4 linked regions of the Drosophila melanogaster genome follow. The protein of the gene in region 1 interacts with the protein of each later gene in a pairwise test. Each region holds a gene or a part of one and is shown in the gene's direction. Other genes may lie near its edges. The genes, in order: CG8281, CG14074, insb and dod.

The links.
Region 2: the proteins of CG8281 (region 1) and CG14074 interact in a two-hybrid assay, tested with the Drosophila melanogaster proteins (one large-scale study listed by BioGRID).
Region 3: the proteins of CG8281 (region 1) and insb interact in a two-hybrid assay, tested with the Drosophila melanogaster proteins (one large-scale study listed by BioGRID).
Region 4: the proteins of CG8281 (region 1) and dod interact in a two-hybrid assay, tested with the Drosophila melanogaster proteins (one large-scale study listed by BioGRID).

The regions. Positions count from the first base shown.
Region 1 is NT_037436.4:7,910,938-7,914,334, forward strand, and holds CG8281 (uncharacterized protein), read left to right. Parts: upstream 1-1,525; 5' UTR 1,526-1,669; coding exon 1,670-2,716; 3' UTR 2,717-2,826; downstream 2,827-3,397. Other genes in the region: pbl (pebble), read right to left, coding at 485-521; Tmem43 (transmembrane protein 43), read right to left, coding at 2,849-3,060, 3,122-3,397.
Region 2 is NT_037436.4:18,864,273-18,867,931, forward strand, and holds CG14074 (uncharacterized protein), read left to right. Parts: upstream 1-1,952; 5' UTR 1,953-1,989; intron 1,990-2,047; 5' UTR 2,048-2,066; coding exon 2,067-3,077; 3' UTR 3,078-3,159; downstream 3,160-3,659. Other genes in the region: CG6865 (uncharacterized protein), read left to right, coding at 1-322, 636-931, 994-1,149; Dysb (dysbindin), read left to right, coding at 3,608-3,659.
Region 3 is NT_033778.4:17,474,710-17,477,985, reverse strand, and holds insb (insensible), read left to right. Parts: upstream 1-1,713; 5' UTR 1,714-2,019; coding exon 2,020-2,550; 3' UTR 2,551-2,772; downstream 2,773-3,276.
Region 4 is NC_004354.4:21,343,490-21,347,365, forward strand, and holds dod (dodo), read left to right. Parts: upstream 1-1,868; 5' UTR 1,869-1,961; coding exon 1,962-2,019; intron 2,020-2,130; coding exon 2,131-2,463; intron 2,464-2,832; coding exon 2,833-2,942; 3' UTR 2,943-3,074; coding exon of another isoform or gene 3,075-3,260; 3' UTR 3,261-3,369; downstream 3,370-3,876. Other genes in the region: fliI (flightless I), read left to right, coding at 12-162, 286-696; peng (penguin), read right to left, coding at 3,075-3,260, 3,468-3,876.

The DNA.
Region 1 (3,397 bases):
TAAAAACGGCTGAATTCGCATCAATGATAACAGGAACTGATCGCTTAAATTGTTGTTGCTTGTCCTTTCTTTTTACTCTCACAACAGTTAGGGCGCCTCAGTTGTTGTTGTTGTTCTTGCTGTCGGTACAGTGTCGCCGAAGAGAGGGAGAGTGAGGGGAAACGATGATGAAGAGAGGGAGGCATTTCGCATTTATGCGATAAATATTTTCTACACCGAAATAAATTCAGAAAAAAAGATTAAAATATCTGCGACACGATGCCGTTGCTTTTTTAGTCACACAAATACACACAAAGATGTACTTATAGTCGTTGTTATTTCATTTTATTTTTTTGCATTTGCTGGCAGCGACATTTTTTATGAGGATCTTTTGGCCCCGAATGTGGTTTTACCCCGTACCCAACCCCTTTGGGCGACATTGAAAAATGATAAATTCGCCGGCCATTTGGAGCTGCCACGCCCCGCGCCCTCTTTCAGTACTCACCGCACTTCGATTGCTCTTCAATGGTCTCCATTTCCATGGATCTTCTGCAGTTACTTTTTTAAGGCGAACAACTCGTGGAACATACACAAAAACACACACCAACAGAACTCGAAACACAATAGAACGAACGCACAAGGAGACAAATAATTCGTTTGTACTCGATTCGTTTACTTTCATTAACTGGACGCTGTTTTCATGCATTTAGCGCGCATCATTTCCATGTTTGTTTGTTTTTCTACTTTTTGTTACAATTTATTTATTATTTAATTAAAAAGCGGCGGCTCACGAAAACACACACACACAGACGCGCATAGGCAGCGTCGCCCGGTTCTTCGTCCTCTTGTTAGCGATACCGCGTACCTGCTTTAGCAATTTAACCAACAAAATGATCAACAATGTAAGCGAATTGCGCTCAACGGCTGCGCGTCGGAATCACAAATCAAAACTCAACGGACAAACGCGTCTGTTTCGAATTTTTTTCGCTGTAGTGTGCCGCGCAGTGTAACCGTCGCGGGGGCGCCAAGAAATACGCGCAAATGTGATGAACGAAATACCAGAATCAATCGGCGCTAAATAATGGTCACACTTGCAAGGGGTTGAAGGTATTCCCTGTAATGCTATATAACTAAATTAAACGACTATGGCTATAAAATAGTTGTAAGCTGCACTATATTAACAATCAATTAGAACTGTTTTCTTCGTTTAAGTTGTTTTTGGCCTGTCGATAAATTAAATTTGGTAATATCCTACTATTGTTGCAGTTGTAGCCTCCAATCATATTTTTCATGCAAGCTATATAAGCTACAGTTAATTTTATGTATGCTTGCTCATATATTTAATAAATGAATGCCTAAAACTACTTGCTTTTGTGCTACTTTGTTTAAATATACGCGCTTGATAACAACGAGTTGACCGATAAATACTGCTGGCGAAGTATCGATACCAGTGACAAGCATTGCCACTACGTCCGCACTTGTTGCTGTATCTTCACGCTCACGCACACTCGCACACAACCATTACGTCAATATGGCAAACAATCTGTCAAACGCGCAATTACAACAAACACAGTTCGTTCGCATTGACAGTTGGTCAATAGGTCCATCCAGGATTCGCTGAAGTGGTGAAGATAGCCAAGGACTGCAGCTGGCGTGGATTGGCAGAGGGTAATCCAGAGATCCGCGCAAAATGCTGCCACAAACGCCGCCGCACGGATTGAAGGTGATGTCGGGAGCGGAGGAGAACCGACACTATCTGCGCGCCTTCATCCAGACATACAGGGATCTGCCCGTGCTGTGGGACACATCGCTGCGGGACTACACCAATCGGGAGAAGCGGGCGGAGGCCTATTTGCGCCTGGTGCCCATATACCATTATCTCAAGCGGGACGCCACCGTGGAGGATGTGAAAAAGAAGATCAACACACTGCGCACGAACTACCGCAAGGAGCTGAAGGTGGTGGAGAGTGCCCTGCGATCGGGCAGCCTCCACAGTCCACGCTGCTGGACCTTTCAGGAGCTGGACTTTCTGCGCAACTCGGAGAAGTTTCTAGCCGTCAATCCCGCCTTTAAGAACGAGCCCAACTTCGCCTTCGGTGAGAGCAGCAATTGCCCGAGTGCGTTTCTGGAGAGCCAGGGAGCAGCCCTCCATTATCCAGCACCACGCGCTGGTGGTCAGACGCCCAACATTTCCGAGATGTTTCACAAATCATTTGGAGCTCCGCCACCGCCACCGCCAGCAACCAACCATGTGGATTATGGGAGCAGCAAGCGAGCCAGGCAAACGCCGCCATGTACGGGAGCAGGAGCCGGATCTACTGGCGGTCCTGGGGCAACAGGCACCGCCCACAACACCGACGAACTACTCAACATAGCCTGCGAGTATTTGGCTGGCACATATCCGGAGGAGGAGTCCATCGCCCGCACCTGGACGCACAAACTGAAGCGACTGCCGCGCGAGCAGCGTCTTCTGGCCGAACGTTTCATCAACGAGATTCTCTTCGAGGCCGAGTCCAACAATCTGCATCGCGGATCTGTGCAAATCAACAACAGCTTCGAACCCTACGTTCGCTACGAAGAAACGCCAAATGGTCACGAGGAGCAGGACAAATCACAGAGCCCCAGTGTGCACACCTCCAGCGAATCCAAGCCCAATGTGTCGGGAGCGAGCGGAAGCGGGGGAGGAGGTGGGCCACCGGGCAGCACCACCACCAGTGCGGGCATCAGGGAGTTCTAACTTTAGTTTAGTTACTAAGTGTTAAGTTTTTATTGGCCGAGGGATAAATGGCAAATGCGATCAATTTGGCTCAACAATGAAAATCAACAATAAATAAACCTGTAAATAATATTGAGATGACTCTGAAATGGATTAGTCCAGGCGATGGTAGTCGACCAGATTGCGGGTGAACCAGACGTAAGGCGATGCGCCAGCCAGTAAGAGGCAGGCGCCGATCACAGGACGATGCAGGATCCAGGCGACTGCCGCAATGGTCAGAGCTAGCGAAAATGCGATGAGTAGGTTGCCCGTAACCGGGAACTGAGGATCGGGTGCCAAGGCCACCAATAGCGGCACCCGTACAACTGGAGGAGATATAACCATTTAGTACAAGAGATCAATTTTTTTAGAAAATACAGGACTCACACAGCAGACGAAGGATTTTGGTGTTGCAGGTGACGCCGAAGAAGATCAGCAGCCAGCCGACGAAGCGCCACCACCAGGTGTGCAAGACCTGGGCACGAGCCTCCAACCGGAACACTTCCTGGACACTGAGCCCACCCGGATAGACGAGCAGCACTGGAACGCCACGGGAGGTTATGTACGGCACCAGTTTGTTGCCCGACAGCTTGCCCACCACGCTGAACACCTCGCCCTCCATTCCCGCGAAGCTGAAGAGCAGGCGCAGGTCACCCACCTCCG
Region 2 (3,659 bases), about 11 Mb from region 1:
TCGGTTCGAAATCCAAAAATCGTGGGAGGTAGTGAGGCGGAGCGCAACGAAATGCCCTACATGGTCAGTCTGATGCGTCGTGGTGGTCACTTTTGTGGCGGCACTATCATCTCGGAGCGATGGATCCTCACGGCGGGACATTGCATCTGCAATGGGCTGCAGCAGTTCATGAAACCAGCTCAAATCCAAGGAGTTGTGGGTTTGCATAGCATCAGGGAGTACCTCAACGGGATTGGCAACGGTCCGGATGCACTGAGGGTGGACTTCAAGAACATTGTGCCCCATCCGCAATACGACTGCAACGATGTGAAACACGATATAGGTATGTGTGTTTTTTAAGGGGTAATTGCAGGTTCAATTATTTTCCATATGTACAGAACTGAATCATAAATCAACAATATGACATTAACATGACATTATTTTTCAGTAAAATGAATAAAAAATTTTAATCTAGTAAAACACCATTAAAAATATGCGCTTAGGTTTTAAAAAAACAAACAGAAATACATAGGTAGGAAATAGTTTCAACAAAGGATATTAACATTAACCATAATGAATCAGAGACGAATCAAATAATACTTATTATTCTTAGTATTCCTTAAGCTATTGCAAATTGGTATTTTATTCTTTTACAGCCCTCCTGGAGCTGGTACAGCCAATCCGATTCTCTTCACACATCCAGCCCAGCTGCGTGGGATCCGAGGAGGGGCACCGAAGTCTGGAGCAGGAGTACGGAACAGTTTCCGGTTGGGGCTGGACGCACGAGAACCAAGCGGAAAACGATCGATCCGATGTACTGCGCAAGGCTACCGTTAAGATCTGGAACAACGAGGCGTGCGAGAGGTCCTACCGATCCTTGGGCAAGAGCAATACCATTGGAGAGACACAGTTGTGTGCCGGTTATGAAAACGGTCAAATCGACTCGTGTTGGGTGAGTATTCACTTGGCTGATACGGCACACATGTTATGCTCCGGGTTTACTTACCTTCACAGGCGGATTCTGGCGGTCCGCTGATGTCCAAGGAGCATCATCTGGTGGGCGTGGTGTCCACGGGGATCGGCTGTGCACGTCCAGGTTTGCCCGGAATCTACACGCGCGTCAGTAAATACGTGTCCTGGATGCAGAAAGTGATAGACGGCAGGAAATAGTTGGCCAGGAATCTGAAACATAAAGATTGTGATTCACCTGTGATATTAGTCGTACTCGATTATGTGATCTTCTTCAATAAACGTTACTTTAACCAACTAGAAATTCAATTTATTGCGGCCGGTCGTCATTTTTTAAACTTTAATCGATGATTGTGCCAATCGATATCGTTGGACTAATTTGTGGTATTTTGCAGAAAAGATTACTCTGACAATATTAATCGACAAGAATATCGCTAGTGTAGGAGGAACGGAGGAACGATGGAATTTTGAATAATTTATTCTTTCATTATTGAATTCAAAAAAATGCAATAACGTTTAAAAAAATATCTAACTACCTATGTACGACTTAAGTTCATAGGACTCAAGAAAGTATATGAAATATGCACTTGAAAACTTGGCTCCCCACGCTTACTGTCCCACCTGCTGCCCCGCCCGACCGACTGTCACCCGTGGCCCAACGAATGTCTTGACGTCTGCCCCGCCGTTTCCCTAAAGAAATGTCCTTAAAAGTGGTCACGCTCTACGAGTGGAGAAATTCCCGAAAATGTGGGAATAGTTAGTAAGATCTTTATTTTATTTTTTGCAATTCACCTCCAAATAACGAAAAGAAATAAATAAATAAAAAACGTCCCCATGTTTTGATTTCCACCGTTCCGTCATCGCCGCGAACTCATCGACGCTAATTTAACGCACATACAATAATCGCTTTATACTTAGTATTTTAAAAATACTTATAAGTAGCACTTACCGTCCGCGGTATTTTTTGTTTCGCAGCAATTGGTATTCAATTAAATGCCATAAACAAACACAAAAAATGGAAATGGACGCAGACCTAACAAAGTAAATATTTATATTACAATCCGATATATTTTTAATTAATTTGATGCTCTCACGTTAGTCAGGCGATTGCCGAGCTAATGCGCGAGATCGAAGGTGCAAATGCCAGTGTCAGCACCTCGAAACAAAGCGAACGCAAAGTGAATCCTCTGGGCAAACTAAACAAACGCTTCTTAGGCCGCACCATAAACACCGCGATTCGGCATAATGATAGAGAAAAGGAGCGCACACAGGCAAATTGCCGACAGAAGCTGCAGGATCTGGATGATGTGCACGAAAGGAGGAAGTCCAACTACTTTTACAGCCGCGATGCACCCAGAACTCAAAGTGTTGATAGAAGCAGAAGTTCCAGCAGAAGGCGCAGCAGGAGCCGCCACAAAAAGGCCAAGAAGCATCGCAGCCGAAGAAGAACTAGGAGCAGCAGAAGTTCAAGCCGCAGTCGAAGTCGCAGCAGTTCACATCGGCGAAAAAAGCGCAAAAAGAAGGTTAAAAAACACAAAAAATCACACAGAAGACGAAGAAGCAGCCAGAGCAGCAGCGGTTGCGATTGGGAATCCGCACCCAGCGAGTCGTTACGTATACCCCCGCCTTCAGATGTGTTCCTAAACCACTCCAAGCAAATGGCTCTTGCAGTGGCCATGGCCTATGGTCAATTACTAAACCCGAGCAGCCAAAAGAAAGCCAGCGAGTCTAAGGAACACTCCTCCTCTCCTATAAGCGATATATTCCGGGAACTTATGTCCGACGAAGAGGTGGACAAATCCGAGAAGCCCGAGGCCCTGTCCATTTCATCCAGCGACGAAGAGCCAAATGTTCTCACCATTAAAGTAAGCTCGAGCTCCGAGTCCAGCGGCAATAAATCAAGCTCGGACTCAGATTCAGAAGCAAAGAACAGCGTACGCAGCTGTATAACCCTAGAATCTGGTGATAATAGTGATATTGAGATAATTGAGTACCATGAAGAGCCCAAAAAAAAGGCATGTGAAACTGAACCTGCGTCTGAACCTGAATATCCGTCTCAATCGGATAGCACAAATCAACAAGTGGACGATAGCACAGCTGTCACTACAGTGGACCTGACCGAGGATTAATTAGGCTAAACTTTAGTTAGAGAATCGTTATGTAAGATCAGAATGAAATTTTAAAGGAAACAAACTGAAGTTGAACCAAACTAAGAATATTGTTTTTATATTATTATTACAGATATAAGCTCTGCCATAGATAGATTCATATTTGGTTGGTTTTTTTTTAAGTTATGTTTAATAGTAATATACTAAATATACCACCGAATGATACCCTGTTGTGTCTGTTTATAATATCAACTTTGGGTTCATTTTTTTATTTAAATTATAAAATAAAAATGCAAAATTTGAAATGTTAATAATACTTATTAGTTTTAGTAAGTAATAAAAACCACGTGCCAGAGCTCTTGCCATAGTTGATATGCCTCTCGTGTACGGCAACAAACTGTTGCTCTCTCTCTCTCTCTATGACCGATTTTCTCTCAGCACCTGCCCGAACAGCTGATTCTTTATTTACCACTCAATTTTCGATGGAAAACGCCAGCGCGAAGACAATTAGAAATCGCTAAGTTAAATAAATAGAGATCCGTTGTCGCAAGATGTTCGGGAACCTGAAAAAGAAGCTTAGCAGTGCGATCCAGGAGGGCCTGG
Region 3 (3,276 bases), on another chromosome or scaffold:
AAAATAAATAGAAGATGCTTCGGCCAAGTTTAACTGAAATGGGGAGAGGAAAACCAGCACGCAATATTACACAATGTCAAGTGTACGATAAAAATGAGATAAAAATAATATATATGATTCAATTTTGATACGCCCTTAACAACATCAAGTGCTTATCAAGTAAATAATGTGTACACACACCATTGCCGACATACTAAATGCAAATATCCAATCCATCCATATCATAAGTTCACAGACTTGACGTCTGGGCGTGATTATTTAAATGCCCCTTCCGAAATTGCGAAACAACAATTCGCTGAGATAGTGTCAAATTCGCAGCCCCAAATAAATCGAATAATGCCCAATTTCCTTGACCATAAATAAACATTTATTGCTATCAATGAGATTGTTTCTTTTTTTTTTTCTTGGGACAGGAGATTCTTCATTTATGGTGTCATCTTATATTTCAGCACTCCCCCCTTCCCCCTTCCAACAAACCCAAAATATAAATCCCTTTATTTTAAATTATGGTCATGATTACACAATGCGCGGACATAAACCATAAAGCGAATTATGTTCATTCCAAATTTTGACAGCATTATCGATTAGCATTTTGGGACCACTCCACCTTTACTACGTTAACAATCGGCAATAAAGCCGATAAGAATTGGTTCTCCATGCCAACGGAGGTAAACGTGATTTCGTTCAAACTAACTCATACCGCATACCAATTTCCATGACAACGAAATTCGAAAATTTCTCGCAGTGCTTTTAGGTGTGCACTTATCATTGCAGTGGCAGGTCAAACTAACTCGCAGGGGAAGTGCCGATCGAAGAGATGAATGTGAAGCGTGCCAGCTGCAAATGCTTATCATGGTCGGGCATACCGCACTGGGGAATCTCCTACAAATATGCACATTAAACGAATTTTGTATGCAAATACGAAAATCTATATTCGTAAAGAAGCATCGTGATCAAAGTTCAAGTGATCAAAGTTCACAAACAAAATTTTAGGTAGCTTATTGGTAGAATACAATGCTTAACGGATACGTTAAATATTACCTAAATAGCTTAACTGTCTAACCTGAATAACTTATTCTTTAAGTGCGTCAGCAGTGCACGTTTTGCCAAGAAAAGCAATTTAAGCAATTACATATATCGGTCGTTGTTCGCTAAAACCAGATCGAAACTCATTTGAAATCAACTGAATTAAAAGTCCAGATTCGTTTATTTGTAGCAATTAAGTTAATTCGTCATTAAATTGACAACTTATACATTCAAAAAAAATTCATGAAAATTTATACGCTCAAAACTTGATTACCCAAGATTGTAAGGTATTGATAATTTATTTATGTCTGCTTTAAAATGTAAAAAAAAGAAAATTTGATTAAAATGCTTTATTTTCGCACACACCCTTCAATGCAACCCTATTAAAAAAAAGGACATAGGAAGGTAACTTGGGAATCGGCTATGCCGCACCGAAAGGAAACGGACACGGGACAACAACAACTGAAAGGTCGGAAAGGACGAGCAGGGCGCGCCTGTGATCCCGGGGGGATGGGGTGCAGGACGGATGCACGGAGGAAGGGAGGATATTCGGAGCGCGGCTGCTGCAGCGGCAGAGAAAGAGAGAGAGAGAGAGAGATAGAGAGAGAGAGAGAGAGAGGTAGAGAGAGAGGCAGCGCCAGCTGAGGGTTGCAATATCCTGCTGCTGCCGTTCAGGCTGTGGCCTGTAGCCAGTATCCTGTTGCCCTCCCGCTTCAGCTGCCGCAACTCAAACAGCTGCAACAATTTTTTTTTTTTTGGTTGCCGATGGATTGTTGTTTTTAATTTCCTTGGCGCGGCACATCCCCTAATGCCACTATCTCTGGTCCCTGCCGCATTTTGGGGTTGGAGTCGGCAGTTGCCAGTTGGTCGCCGGGGTGCAGTTGGTCGCAGCTCAGTCGTGGCGATCGCCAGGTGAACGAAGGTTGTGTCGCGCAGGAGCGAGTTGGAAAACCAAACGATTGCAGCTTAAGTCTAGTAGATCATCCTCTAAGCATGTCGGGCAAACTGATCATGAAGCGCAAGCGAGCCAGCCAGGAGGAGCAGCAGCAGGCGCAGGAGCAACGTGTCCAGCCGCAGGAACAGCAACAGGAGCAGCAACCGACTGAAGCGGTTCCGGAGAAACGCCATCGTCCTCTAACTCCACCAGCAGAAGAGCCAGGGCAGAATTGCCCCAACCCGCCAGATGCCCCCAATCGAATCCTTCTGGAAGCGCTGCAAAAAATAATGGAGCTGCAAGCGGAGCTGGATGCCTTTGAGCAGGATCTAAACGATCGAGATGGCTATGCGGCTGCCGGAGCTGAAGCGGAGGATGTTGAGGAAAGTGACGAGGATGCCGAGGTGGCGGCCCAGTTTGCGCCACCGACGCCAGCCCAAAGGAGTCAGGCGGAGGCACTGGGTTTTGCCATGTGTGCCAGAGAAACATTGCTGTTTCTGCAGAGCGAGGGAATACCCACGGAGTCGCCACTCTACCAGACTCTCCTTGGGAAATTGGTTGGGCAAAGCGATGGACTTCTGCACGCCTGAGAGCAAACCGGAGGGCAGGAACTCCTCCTCATTCTAGTCACTTTGCTGCGATCTCATTGCAAGTAAAACGAGAGAGAGAAACCAAGGGTTGCGAACTTTCCGGGGGTGGAAATTATGCAACACAGGGATCTGGGTATTCCTAAGCTATTTACTCTAGTCAATTATTGTAAAGCAATATAAAACACATAAGCAACAACGAAATAAATTATGTATATTGAAAGTAAAACATAAAGGAAGAGGTTTTAATTAAGATTGGGGGGTTCCATCCTAGCTGGGAATAAAAAAACACTCTACTACATCGATTTTCGATACATTTTAAATATATTTATTTATTCATTTAGTTATTACTTGTGTTATTTAATTTTACATATAATAATTAATGAGAATAACTCAATCGCCATATATTATTTCTTTGAATTCATTTTGTAGGTATGTATATCATATAAGTGTATATATTCTTATTGTTGTTAGGGCGGGGTGTTTTTGTTGTTCGGTTATTTCATTAACTTGGTATCATAAATTATCTGGGGGCTTGGGGAATCGCCCTAAAGTAGCATTTGTTATAATTTCATATTAGTTATCTGTATAATTTGTAACAACGATAATTATTTGTAATAAATGGTTGTAATTCCTTTGTATTATCTGTATTACTGATATTTCATTAAAACTAGATTTTAATTGTTTTTAACAATTTAACGTTTCACATGGTTGTATGTAAGTAAATGT
Region 4 (3,876 bases), on another chromosome or scaffold:
CATTATTTCAGCTACATACTCCATGTGCCATTTGAAACGGAGGACGATTCGCAGTCGGGGATTGTGTACGTGTGGATAGGCAGCAAGGCCTGCAACGAAGAGGCCAAACTGGTGCAGGATATTGCCGAGCAGATGTTCAACTCGCCGTGGGTGAGCTTACAGGTGGGTTCCATGTGTTAATGTGGTTCAACCATGTAGTGGGCTGTTTTGTGGAATATATTGTACATATGTTTATATTAAGGTACACGCTCTTGTTAATCGTTTCTTTTCATCCATCCTTTGCAGATTCTCAACGAGGGCGACGAGCCGGAGAACTTCTTCTGGGTGGCGCTGGGCGGCCGCAAGCCTTACGATACGGACGCCGAGTACATGAACTACACGCGGCTGTTCCGGTGCTCCAACGAGCGCGGCTACTACACGGTGGCCGAGAAGTGCGCCGACTTTTGCCAGGACGATCTGGCCGACGACGATATCATGATCCTGGACAACGGCGAGCACGTCTTCCTGTGGATGGGACCGCGTTGCAGCGAGGTGGAGGTGAAGCTGGCCTACAAGTCCGCCCAGGTCTACATCCAGCACATGCGGATCAAGCAGCCGGAGCGGCCGAGGAAGCTCTTCCTCACGATGAAGAACAAGGAGTCGCGCCGTTTCACCAAGTGCTTCCACGGCTGGAGCGCCTTCAAGGTGTATTTATAATTTTAGCCAACTGAAGGAGCATCGTCGAGTAGTTCTTTTAAATTTCCCTAATTCATGCACCGCCGCTATGTGGCCATTTAGGTCTCCGCAAGGAAAGCGCCTAAAAGGCGCTAGTTTTTGTCTTGCTTGTCTCGATTGGCGCCTTCGAGTCCCTGTCAGAGCTAGTGAATCGGCCTCGGGAAGTGCATTTATTAACCAGAAGTCGAAGAGCACGCCTGCAATGTGAGTTTAGTTTTATGAAATGAATAGAGGCACCTTAGAGGTGTTACCCACTAATCTTAGCCCGTTAGAGGAGCCCCATCGAGTTGTAAATTGGTCATTAAGCATTAAGTTAGACCTCTGTTAGCCGGATGCGAATGTTGTTCGCTGGGAAGATGCGCTGGGCAGCTGCCGTGACAGAGTAGCTGCCCCAGAAGACATGACAAAGCAAAATTGTATCGAGGGAAAAAGAATGAAAGGGCCAAGCCAAGCCCTTCCTTCAGGTCGTGAGTGAAGATCGTGTGTTTGTACTTTTATAAAATGTATTTAATTGTTTTGTATAATTAATTTAAATTTTTTTATTAGCTCACTTGCTCCCGCCCCTAACTAAATAATTAGCTAACTCCAAGAACGCCAAGTATTCGCCCACTCCCTGCGAGAAAACCACATGAGTATATTGAATGCAAATATACATACATATGTATGTATATCACATATGCCTACAAATACGCAATATATATATATATATATATATATACATACGCTGAGCTGAGAGGATTACTCCCCTGTGCTAGTCCTTTTAAAATGTTAACCTACTTAAAGCTAGCCTGTAATAAAGTCAAGGAAGCACTAAAACTAATTGTACAAATGCCCACGTATTTATTTTATTTTTATTAATCCCCTGAATAAACATTAGAAAAATTGAAATTCCTCTATTCGTGTCGCGGATTGAAGGAGGTATTGGAATAGATTTAATTAAGTTATGTGCTAATTTTTCGGCAAAAGATACATATAACATATCAGAATAGCACATATCAGCACATTATTGTTAGTTCGCTGCTATTATATTGGCCTCAGCTGTATCTGCGGTTAGCGAGTGCACCCACCGCAGTTAGCACGTGCCAGCACCTTATTTGGCGAATTCGCCACCATGTGTATCGATATGTCGATGGCAGGCGCTATCGATTTTGATGGATGTTCTCAAAGCGTGTTCGGCGCGGTCACACTGGTGGTTTATTTTATTCCGAAAACTATTTGTAATTTAACTCAAATTAAGTGAAAACAGCATGCCAGATGCCGAGCAACTACCGGACGGCTGGGAGAAGCGCACTAGCCGCTCCACAGGTAAGCATCGTGTGCAGTCCCGCTCGTGCCATGCCGGCGGTTTTCCGGCGGAATGCGGAACCGGCACGCTAAACTGAACCTGCACTTGATTGATCATGATTGATTTTGCAGGAATGAGCTATTATCTCAATATGTACACAAAGGAGTCGCAGTGGGATCAGCCCACAGAGCCGGCGAAGAAGGCGGGCGGAGGATCCGCCGGCGGCGGAGATGCACCGGACGAGGTGCATTGCCTGCATCTGCTGGTTAAGCACAAGGGCAGTCGGCGTCCCAGCTCGTGGCGCGAGGCGAACATCACGCGCACCAAGGAGGAGGCCCAGCTGCTCCTCGAGGTCTATCGCAACAAAATCGTCCAGCAGGAGGCCACATTCGACGAGCTGGCCCGCTCCTACTCCGACTGCAGCTCCGCCAAGAGGGGCGGCGACCTGGGAAAGTTCGGCAGAGGTATGTATATCTCCCCACTGTGCATTTGTCACACGTCCAGGATCGAGTGGTCCTCGATGTGTGTCCGTTTAGGAATAAGGCGCTTCCCACTTGAGGCGCAATCCAGAAACAGATTGGTACTTCCACTAGAGGCTCTGATTGTTTTCAATATTCAAGAGAAGAGAAGAGAAGATATATCGACCACTAATAGATTATAGATGCATAGTTATAGACAAACACTATTTGCAATTGGCTCCGCGGCATTTCTTTTTTAATCTTCCTTACCTTACACATTTTTGTACCTATAACTTCGCGAGCTACTTGCAATCGTAGAGTTTAGGCCACCCAACCGACCTGCAACTGCTTCTAATTACATTTCACATCTCACAGGTCAGATGCAGGCGGCTTTCGAGGACGCTGCCTTCAAATTGAACGTCAACCAGCTGTCGGGCATCGTCGACAGCGACTCCGGCCTGCACATCATCCTGCGCAAGGCATAGACTCATCGAGCACCGACCCACAGCACAACTCGCGTCCCTTCACATGAATAAAACGGAATGCCCAGCCATTTCAATATAGAATTATTTATTGTATTTTAAAATGTTAGGTCTTGTCTAGGCTAGAAGCGTTTCTCATTTGCCAATGTCCAGTTTGGCGGCCAGTAGCTTGGCTCCGGGCGTCTTACGGTCCGCGAGTATCTGGCTAAGGCTCCTCTCCGCCGCGATGGCTTTCTTGCAGTCGTCCAGCAGTGCGGGACACTCCTCCACCAGCTTGAGCAGGACAAAACAGGCCCGGTTGACGCCCAGCCAGGCTTTCAGCTGAAAAGGGAAAGGGAATCGCAATTAGGAATTGGAATCTGAGTGAAGCTGTTTACTTTGCGACTACTTATTTATTAGACTAAAGCTAAAGGAATGTCGAAACGTCATTAAATAAAAGAAAAAACTCAAAAGTACGATGCGTTTCTCATGACTGGGAAAAAGGAAGATACCCTCGGTTACCGGATGGCATGATTTTTGGGTACTTACCACATCGGAGGACAAGTTTTGGAGTAGCTGTTGGCTGAACGGGGTGCCCTCTCGCTTGCCATCGTTCTTGAGTATCTTCTTCAATACAATGTGCATGCCGGCCTCCTCGATTCCGGAGACCAACGGAGCCGCCGGCTCCTCCTCCTTTGCCTTTGGCTTTTTGGGCTCCTTTTTGGCTTTCTTCACCTTGGGTTCGGCATCATCTGCGGCCGCCTCCTTCTGCTCCTTCTCGTCTCCTTCATCGTCGCTCTCCTCATCTTCATCTTCATCTTCATCTTCGTCGTCGCTGCTGCTCTCGACATAAAGCAGTTTTCTGCGCTGTTTGGTGGCCTGGGCTATAATGGCCTCCACGTCATTGTGAGGCTTCTTCTTATCCTGCGGCTGCGGACCGGCGGCGTCTGCTGAAATG